Ovis aries: one gene and its partner. The main gene of each other region encodes a partner of the protein of the gene in region 2 in a complex. Links are inferred from orthologs where the notes say so. Each region holds a gene or a part of one and is shown on either strand. Other genes may lie near its edges. The genes, in order: CHP1 and SLC9A3.

Evidence for each region.
Region 1: the proteins of SLC9A3 (region 2) and CHP1 are in contact, whole or in part, in a cryo-EM structure (PDB 7X2U), measured with the Homo sapiens proteins. The link is inferred for Ovis aries from reciprocal best matches to the Homo sapiens genes SLC9A3 and CHP1. Residues at the interface, in NP_004165.2 of Homo sapiens: Tyr396, Arg397, Met398, Gln400, Glu402, Arg474, Leu475, Asn476, Glu477, Leu479, His480, Gly481, Arg482, Ala483, Phe484, Asp485, His486, Ile487, Leu488, Ser489, Ala490, Ile491, Glu492, Asp493, Ile494, Ser495, Gly496, Gln497, Asn501, Arg504; in NP_009167.1 of Homo sapiens: Arg30, Leu31, Arg34, Leu38, Lys40, Glu49, Phe51, Gln52, Arg53, Ile54, Glu56, Leu57, Ala58, Ile59, Asn60, Pro61, Leu62, Asp64, Ile66, Phe70, Phe83, Leu87, Phe90, Leu115, Phe117, Ala118, Leu121, Tyr122, Leu135, Leu139.

What each region holds. Positions count from the first base shown.
Region 1 is NC_056060.1:34,960,733-34,963,725, reverse strand, and holds the end of CHP1 (calcineurin B homologous protein 1), read right to left. Parts: intron 2,928-2,993; coding exon 2,703-2,927; 3' UTR 2,658-2,702; coding exon of another isoform or gene 2,604-2,657; 3' UTR 692-2,603; downstream 1-691. UniProt on the Homo sapiens protein: Calcium-binding protein involved in different processes such as regulation of vesicular trafficking, plasma membrane Na(+)/H(+) exchanger and gene transcription. Involved in the constitutive exocytic membrane traffic.
Region 2 is NC_056069.1:71,676,334-71,680,146, reverse strand, and holds part of SLC9A3 (sodium/hydrogen exchanger 3), read right to left. Parts: intron 2,788-3,813; coding exon 2,627-2,787; intron 1,242-2,626; coding exon 1,163-1,241; intron 567-1,162; coding exon 389-566; intron 1-388. UniProt on the Homo sapiens protein: Plasma membrane Na(+)/H(+) antiporter. Exchanges intracellular H(+) ions for extracellular Na(+) in 1:1 stoichiometry, playing a key role in salt and fluid absorption and pH homeostasis.

The DNA of each region.
Region 1 (2,993 bases), on a different chromosome or scaffold from region 2:
GGAGATCAGTCCTGGGTGTTCATTGGAAGGACTGATGTTGAAGCTGAAACTCTGGTACTTTGGCCACCTGATGCAAAGAGCTGACTCATTTGAAAAGACCCTTTTGTTGGGAAAGATTGAGGGCAGGAGGAGAAGGGCACAACAGAGGATGAGATGGTTGGATGGCATCACTGACTTGAGGGACATGGGTTTGGGTGGACTCCAGGAGTTGGTGATGGACAAGGAGGCCTGGTGTGCTGCGGTTCATGGAGTCACAAAGAGTCGGACACAACTGAGCCACTGAACTGAACTGAATAGCTGGGCATACTATGTCACTTAGACTGTGGACAAATTAATAACAAGCAATAGACAGATACCCCATTTTAGACCTCTTCTACATTTAAGAAGTCAGGGGTTCAAGAACAGAAATAGAATCCAACCTGGAAAGAGTGGGAAGTGGCCGAGGCTGTCAATCACACTCAGATGCATTCAGTGCTGGCCACTAGACGAACACCTCTGCCTTGTATGTCCAGGCAGCAGCAGATATAAATGCTGACAGAATCTCACATCATGCTCAATTATGTTCAAATAAATGCATTTGATAGCACAGACATAAAGCCAAGTAAAGAAGACACATGATTTCAAACCTGAAGAAAGGGACTGAGTCATGAAAAATACTTATAAAACATGAGGACAAAAATCAACCATGTTGTTTTGTTTTAACCACAAGTATTTATTGATGGATCGAAGAGTACAATTTTAATGGAACAATAAGGCACAACCGTGGATTAAAACAGTTTGCTACACAGCCAAGAGGAGGAAAAGGCCATCATCTTAGGAACTTTAAATATGCAGGTCAAGGAGCCTCTGAAGTACCTCACGAACAGACCAGTGTTGGACAGTTCTTCCCTTTTATACAATTCCTATATTACATCACTTGATCACAAAGTCACACTGATACTTCTCTATGAAATCCTCTCTCATTTATACTTGAGTCATCCAGCCTGGCCACTCTTTCTTAAGCACTCTTCCCAAACCCTTTGCAGTTTTTTTTTTTTTTTTAAGCAATTCCCTTCATAAAGTAGTGTGTATACATCTTGGATAGCCTTCCAAAGCAAGGAAAGAAGCAAGCAAGCAATGAGTCAGAGAGAATCAGCCAAGGACAGATATATGGATGAAGAGATGCATAAGGACAGATCTTAGGATGACCACAGCCTGATTCAGTGACATCCATACTAAGCTTCCTTGGGGCAGAGGAGTTGCTCTGGTTCAAGCAAAGGCTTGTAATGCCACTTCAGGTTGTGTCACCAGTGCCAGAGCTCTCATTCCTAAGGGATTAGCAGTAGTGTACGAGAGGAACTAGGAAGTCAATGTAACCAGGCTGCTAATGATACAATACATTCAATATTTTGGACCTATATTAAGACCTGACTATGGCATCCGGCATTAACTTGTTCCAGGTGTAAAATTCAGAGAGAATTTTGTGCAAAACCTCAAGACACTGAGGACAATTTTTAAATCTTATGGCCTGGGATAAGTTAGGCACTTATCTTTCTACTTAGAAATGTGAAGTGAAAAGAATTCCAGGGCACATCACACTAAGGCATAAACCATGCTGTAGAGGTGGGAATATTTTAGGGTGCCCAGCCTCCTTGTTCAAAAAGCCATGAGAAAGACACCAAGCAAACGGTCAGAGCAGCCATTCTGGTGGTGACATTATCCTCAGATGAAGCAAGCTGCAGGCATACGGCTAATTTCTAGAGAATCAACACTGTACTAACGAGAGCAGCCATGTAGGTATGTGTGTTGAGAGTCAGAGGCCAGAGGTAGAGTGACCTGGGCAAGCCACCTAGAAGACTTGGCTCTACACCTCTTATCTTTCTTATCTTTCAAGAGCTTCTCTAACCAACAGCCCTTTGGTGACAGAGCAGAGGGGACCAAGAGATGGTCAAGACATTCTTCTGAGAGAAGTGTTGGTTACTAAAGAGCTCCTGGGGAGGCAACATCCCAGATACCCATTTAAGAGTAAAGGTAGATTAAAAACTGCCAGATCACTGAACTATACTGCCAAGTCTGAAATATATTTAACAGGTGTAACTGAGGATGCCAAGTAGAACAGGGAGGATGGAAGCTTAATAAAAACCAGGGATACTGAAAGACTAAGAGAGTGGTAGGTTGGGGAGAAGAGAAGTGGAAGCAAAGAACATACAAAAAAGGATGAAGGAGCATGCCAAAGCCAAGCTGGCGGAAAGGCAGCCTGGCTACGGTTCACATCCAGCCAAAGAGCTTTGCTGGCTGTTCTTCGGTTGATTCCCTCTCACTTTCTCAGACTGGATGGATGCATGGCACTCAGCAGCAGAACAAGGGAAGGTGACATTTAGAAATGGAGATATCCGGCGAACAACACTAAACAGAATTAGACTGGCTGTACCATTCTGTAATGCCCTATTTATACACCAAAGGCAGGTTTGCGTTGACAGAACATATTTGGGGTTGTCATGCAACAGCAGTAGTACTTTGGGAGAAGGGGAAGGATGGGGTGGAGGTGGGGCTGGTGGATAGGAGGGGTTTCAAGTTCCAGTTCTTAAATACTAGAAAGCAAGGAATAGTTTGGTCTCAGTCCTTTAGTGAAGAAATCGGATGCTCATTTTCTGTTCTACGTCCACCTTCTCCAAAACCTGTTTAAAAAAAAACAAAAACAAACCCAGCTACAGTTACGAAGGTTACAACAGGAGATGCTGTTTCAAGCTCTTCTCTAATGTTTTTCTCCCTCTCTCCTGCATAGTAGTATTTAAGTTCTTCAAGCGAAGAGGTAAGTGACTGACCTTAACAAATTCTGTGAAAGAGATGGCGCTATCCCCATCCTGATCAGCCTCCTGGATGGTCCTGTCTGCAATGCTGCCCAGCTGCTCATCTGAGATATTCACTCCGACCATCATGCGTAGCACCTGCAGGACCGAGAGCCAGGAATTACGAGAGACTTAGGGGTCACGAGGACTCTCTTACTAAAATTT
Region 2 (3,813 bases):
GCCCCTGCATCCTGGGCAAGCATCCCCCGCTACTCATCAGCACTCCTCTTTGTGAGTACAGGGCTCCTCCTAGGGGCTTGGTGCCCTGGGCTGGCTACCTTGACACTGTCTGTGGGCCTCTGGGGGCCTGGGTCCCACACTGGAGGGGAGGGGGGCAGCTCTGCGGGTCAGAGCCCTGGGAAAGGCTGCGTGGGGGCAGAGCAGGTGCTGCAGCCCCTGGAGAGCTCTATGAAGACGCCAACTCCTTAATTAAAAGACTAAATAGATCAAATTCTTCTCCCCCATAGCGAGTTCCCGCCCCACCCGGGGAAGTGGCCAGGCCTCCCCAGGGCAGGTCCGCCGGGCATGCGGGGGCTGGTGGGTGGCCGATCAGCGAGGAGGGACTCACGCCAGGATGGCCGACAGGGACAGCATCTCAGACGTGAGGTAGGACAGGTAGGAGAGGACAAACACGAAGCCAGGCTCGATGATGCGCACGTGCTTGGTGAAGCGTGTCACCAGGGAGAGCAAGAAGGCGAACACGATGCCCACCAGCGTGCCCCCCAGGCTCACCACGAAGAAGGACACTGCAAGGACAAGGAGTGCCGCTGGCCTCTGAGGGGCCCTCTGTGGCCGAGGCGTGGGCGAGCTGGCCTGACTGACTGACTGTTCCCCATTGAGGTCCCGGGTGACCCCAGAGGCACCAGCAGCTCAGCAAACAAGAGGCTGATTCTCTCAGCAGACAGAGGCTCTGGCTCCACGGGGAGAGGAAAGCACTGCACCAAAGGAGGCCCGGCTACCCCACTGCGGGGGCAGCGCTGAGACCAGCAGCATTGGTGGGGGGTTGACAGCAAGGACCAGGCTCTGGGCTCCCAGGAATGCCATCTGTAACTGTCCCTGCCCAGAGGGATTCCCAGGACCCCAGATACAGGATCCACGTCCTCCCATGGGTCTGTGGGGGCAATGATCCTCGCCACCCAGGGTGGCTGGGGCCTGGGAAACCAGATTAGTGTAACCTGCTGGGGAGGGCGGGGGCCTGTCACCAAGACTTTGAAATGGAAGCATGTTTTCCTGCACAGGCTGTGGGTTCCAGCCTGGCACAGATGCTGCCCCACGGGGTCCATGTTCCGGAGAAGACACTGGCCCTGGCTCCCCGCTGGAACACAACTGGCGAGCCACACACCTATTCCTTTCACGCAATCCACGCCGGTCACCTTGTCACCACCCAAAGTCACAAAAGATTCAAACACGTTGTACAGGACCTGCGGGGACACAGACAGACAGGACCCCGTCAGCCTGCGGTCAGCACTGACTCCTCCCCGTCTCGGGCCCCAGGCCTGGTGAGACTTGGGCCAAGTGAGGAGACCATGGCAGCAATCTGAAGGGAAACTGAAAACCGCCAGGGCAAACTCATCTGGGGCAGTAGTGTGGGGTCTGGGGTGGGAGGACAGTCTGGGAGGAACAAGAACCCTCAGAGAAAACCTGGCCTTCCCCACCCTCAGTGAAGCAGGGCGGCCACAAAGCCAGCCTGCTGTGATGATCTTTAGTTTGCTTCCCAAGACACAACCAGAGTTTCATTTGCTGCGACTTTGCCATTATGCGGCCCCCGTCAGTGGGGACGCACCCCTGGCATCTTTGCCTGTTGACATTCAAACCTCATCCTGCTATGAAGTGAGGTGAATTGAAGTCACTCAGTCGTGTCCGACTCTTTGCGACCCCATGGACTGTAGCCTACCAGGCTCCTCCCTCCATGGGATTCTCCAGGCAAGAGTACTGGAGTGGGTTGCCATTTCCTTCTCCACATCCTGCTATGACGTGGTGATAAATGCCTAACACCTTATCCAAGGCCGCAGGGCTGTATGTGTGGGAGGTGCCCGCTGTGCTCTGAGCGAAGCTCCTGAAGGATGCGCTGGCTCCACGTCCAGGGGAGGGGCCTGGGGGCGACCCAGGTCGGGGGGGGCTGTGGGGCCCTTGGGAAGAAATGTTCCTGTGTCTCCAGGTCTGTGCTCTCCAGGGGGCAGAAGGCCCTCATGGGGCAGATCGCAAAGCTGTGTTTATGGAAGGAAATCTGGTGGTGTTGCTGCATGGGGCCTGCGCCGGAGGGATGGCACAGCTGTGAAGGTTGGGGGAGCAGGGCGCAGCGCCCTGCTTCTCCCGCTTCCTCCTCCGTAAGGAAGACGAGCCTCACAGGAACCAGGGAGGAGCTTCCTGGCTTGGGCAGAAGTTCACGCGTTTACAGGACATGGAGGGGCTTTTAGAGCAAAGAGAAGACTGGATGCCCACTATGTCTGCGAAACTGCAGGGCTGAGGAGACCCCAGGCAGGTGCTCAGCCACACTGCTGACCAGCCCTCTGTGCTGCCCCTGGGACGTCACTGCTCCAGAGCCCATGGCCGGTGTGGGGAGGATGGCCTCTGATATCCAAACGGGCCACCCTTTTCTCTGGGCTACCCAGAGCCGACGTGGACCGCCAGCCCTCAGGCCGTGGGCACACTGGGCCTGGCTGAGTTCCCCTCCTCAATCCCCATAACACTGTGATCACTCACAACTCCACAGTCAAGGGCAGACACGAGGCCTGCAGCCGAAGCTGGGATGCCAGCAGTGAGACCCTGGAACAGGACCAGGAGGTGCATCCTGCTGGGCACTCACCACGGTGACAGCATCGTTGAGCAGGGACTCCCCGAAGACGATGATGAACAGCACCTCGTTGACGTGCACCTCCTCAAACACGGCCAGCACGGCCACCGGGTCCACGGCGGCAATCAGGCTGCCGAACAGGAGGAAGTCCAGTAGCCCGATGTTCAGGTCTCCTGGAAGACGAGTGGGCCGTCAGGGGGAGCCCTCCTACCTGGAGGGCCAGTCCTCCCCGCGCTGGCCATGCCAGGAAGGTCCCAGGGACAGGACTGTGGCTGCTGGACTGTGTGTTCCGGGACCCTCCCCAACTTTGGCCTTGCCCACCCGCGGGGCCTCTTGATGGCCCGGGGTTTCTGGGTGCTGGGCTGCTGTGCCCAGATGCCCTCAGGACGTCTGCTGCCTGGCCCACCTGTGGCCACCCAGGCTGACCCTTCCTTGGCAGTGTCCCCCAGCCTTGGGGCAGACCTCAGAGCCAGGAGCGGGCTGACAGCAGAGACCAATCCCTGTCTGCCAGCTGCAGGGCCGGGCTCTGGGTGTCCCCTGGGCACTGCCCTGCTCCATGACCTTGGCTGACACCCAGCCATGACCACTCCATCCCAAGGACGGAGCACAGGCCTCAGACGGCCGTGGCCCCTCAGGGAGCCAAACCCCAGAACGTTCCCTTGGCCTGGGGGCCAGAAGTGGCCTTAGGTTGTCCCAACTACCTGAGGGCACCACCAGGGATGGCAGTCTAATGTCACCTGCATGGGCCCTGTGGCCCGGGCGTTGGGGAGAACTGGCCGGGTGTGTTTGGCACCACGCCAGCCTCGGGGGGCTTCCAGGGCTGCGCTTGGGGATGGTGCCGGATGGCTGTGGGGACTTGAGGAAGCCTGCACTGTCCGGGGTGAGGACAGGGTCCTAGGTGACTCCTGCAGATGGGGTGCCTTAGCCCTCAGTGTGTTTCTCAATGTGTCTTCTTTGTCACTGTGATTTCAAGGGAGGTCATGAGCCCCACTGGGGGGGGCTCGGGGTGCTTGCTTTTCTGTCAGAGGGCCTGTCCCTTGTCTGGTTCTGCTGGTGGAAGTGTTTGAGGCCGAAGCTGAGCTGAGACTGCTGCCCAGGGAGGTGGTAGCAGCCCCACCTCCCTCATCGCCCCCAACACCGGGAGCTCAGCCTGTGGAGCACAGAGGCACGGGGAAAGCAGGCTGAGTTCAAGGCCATGC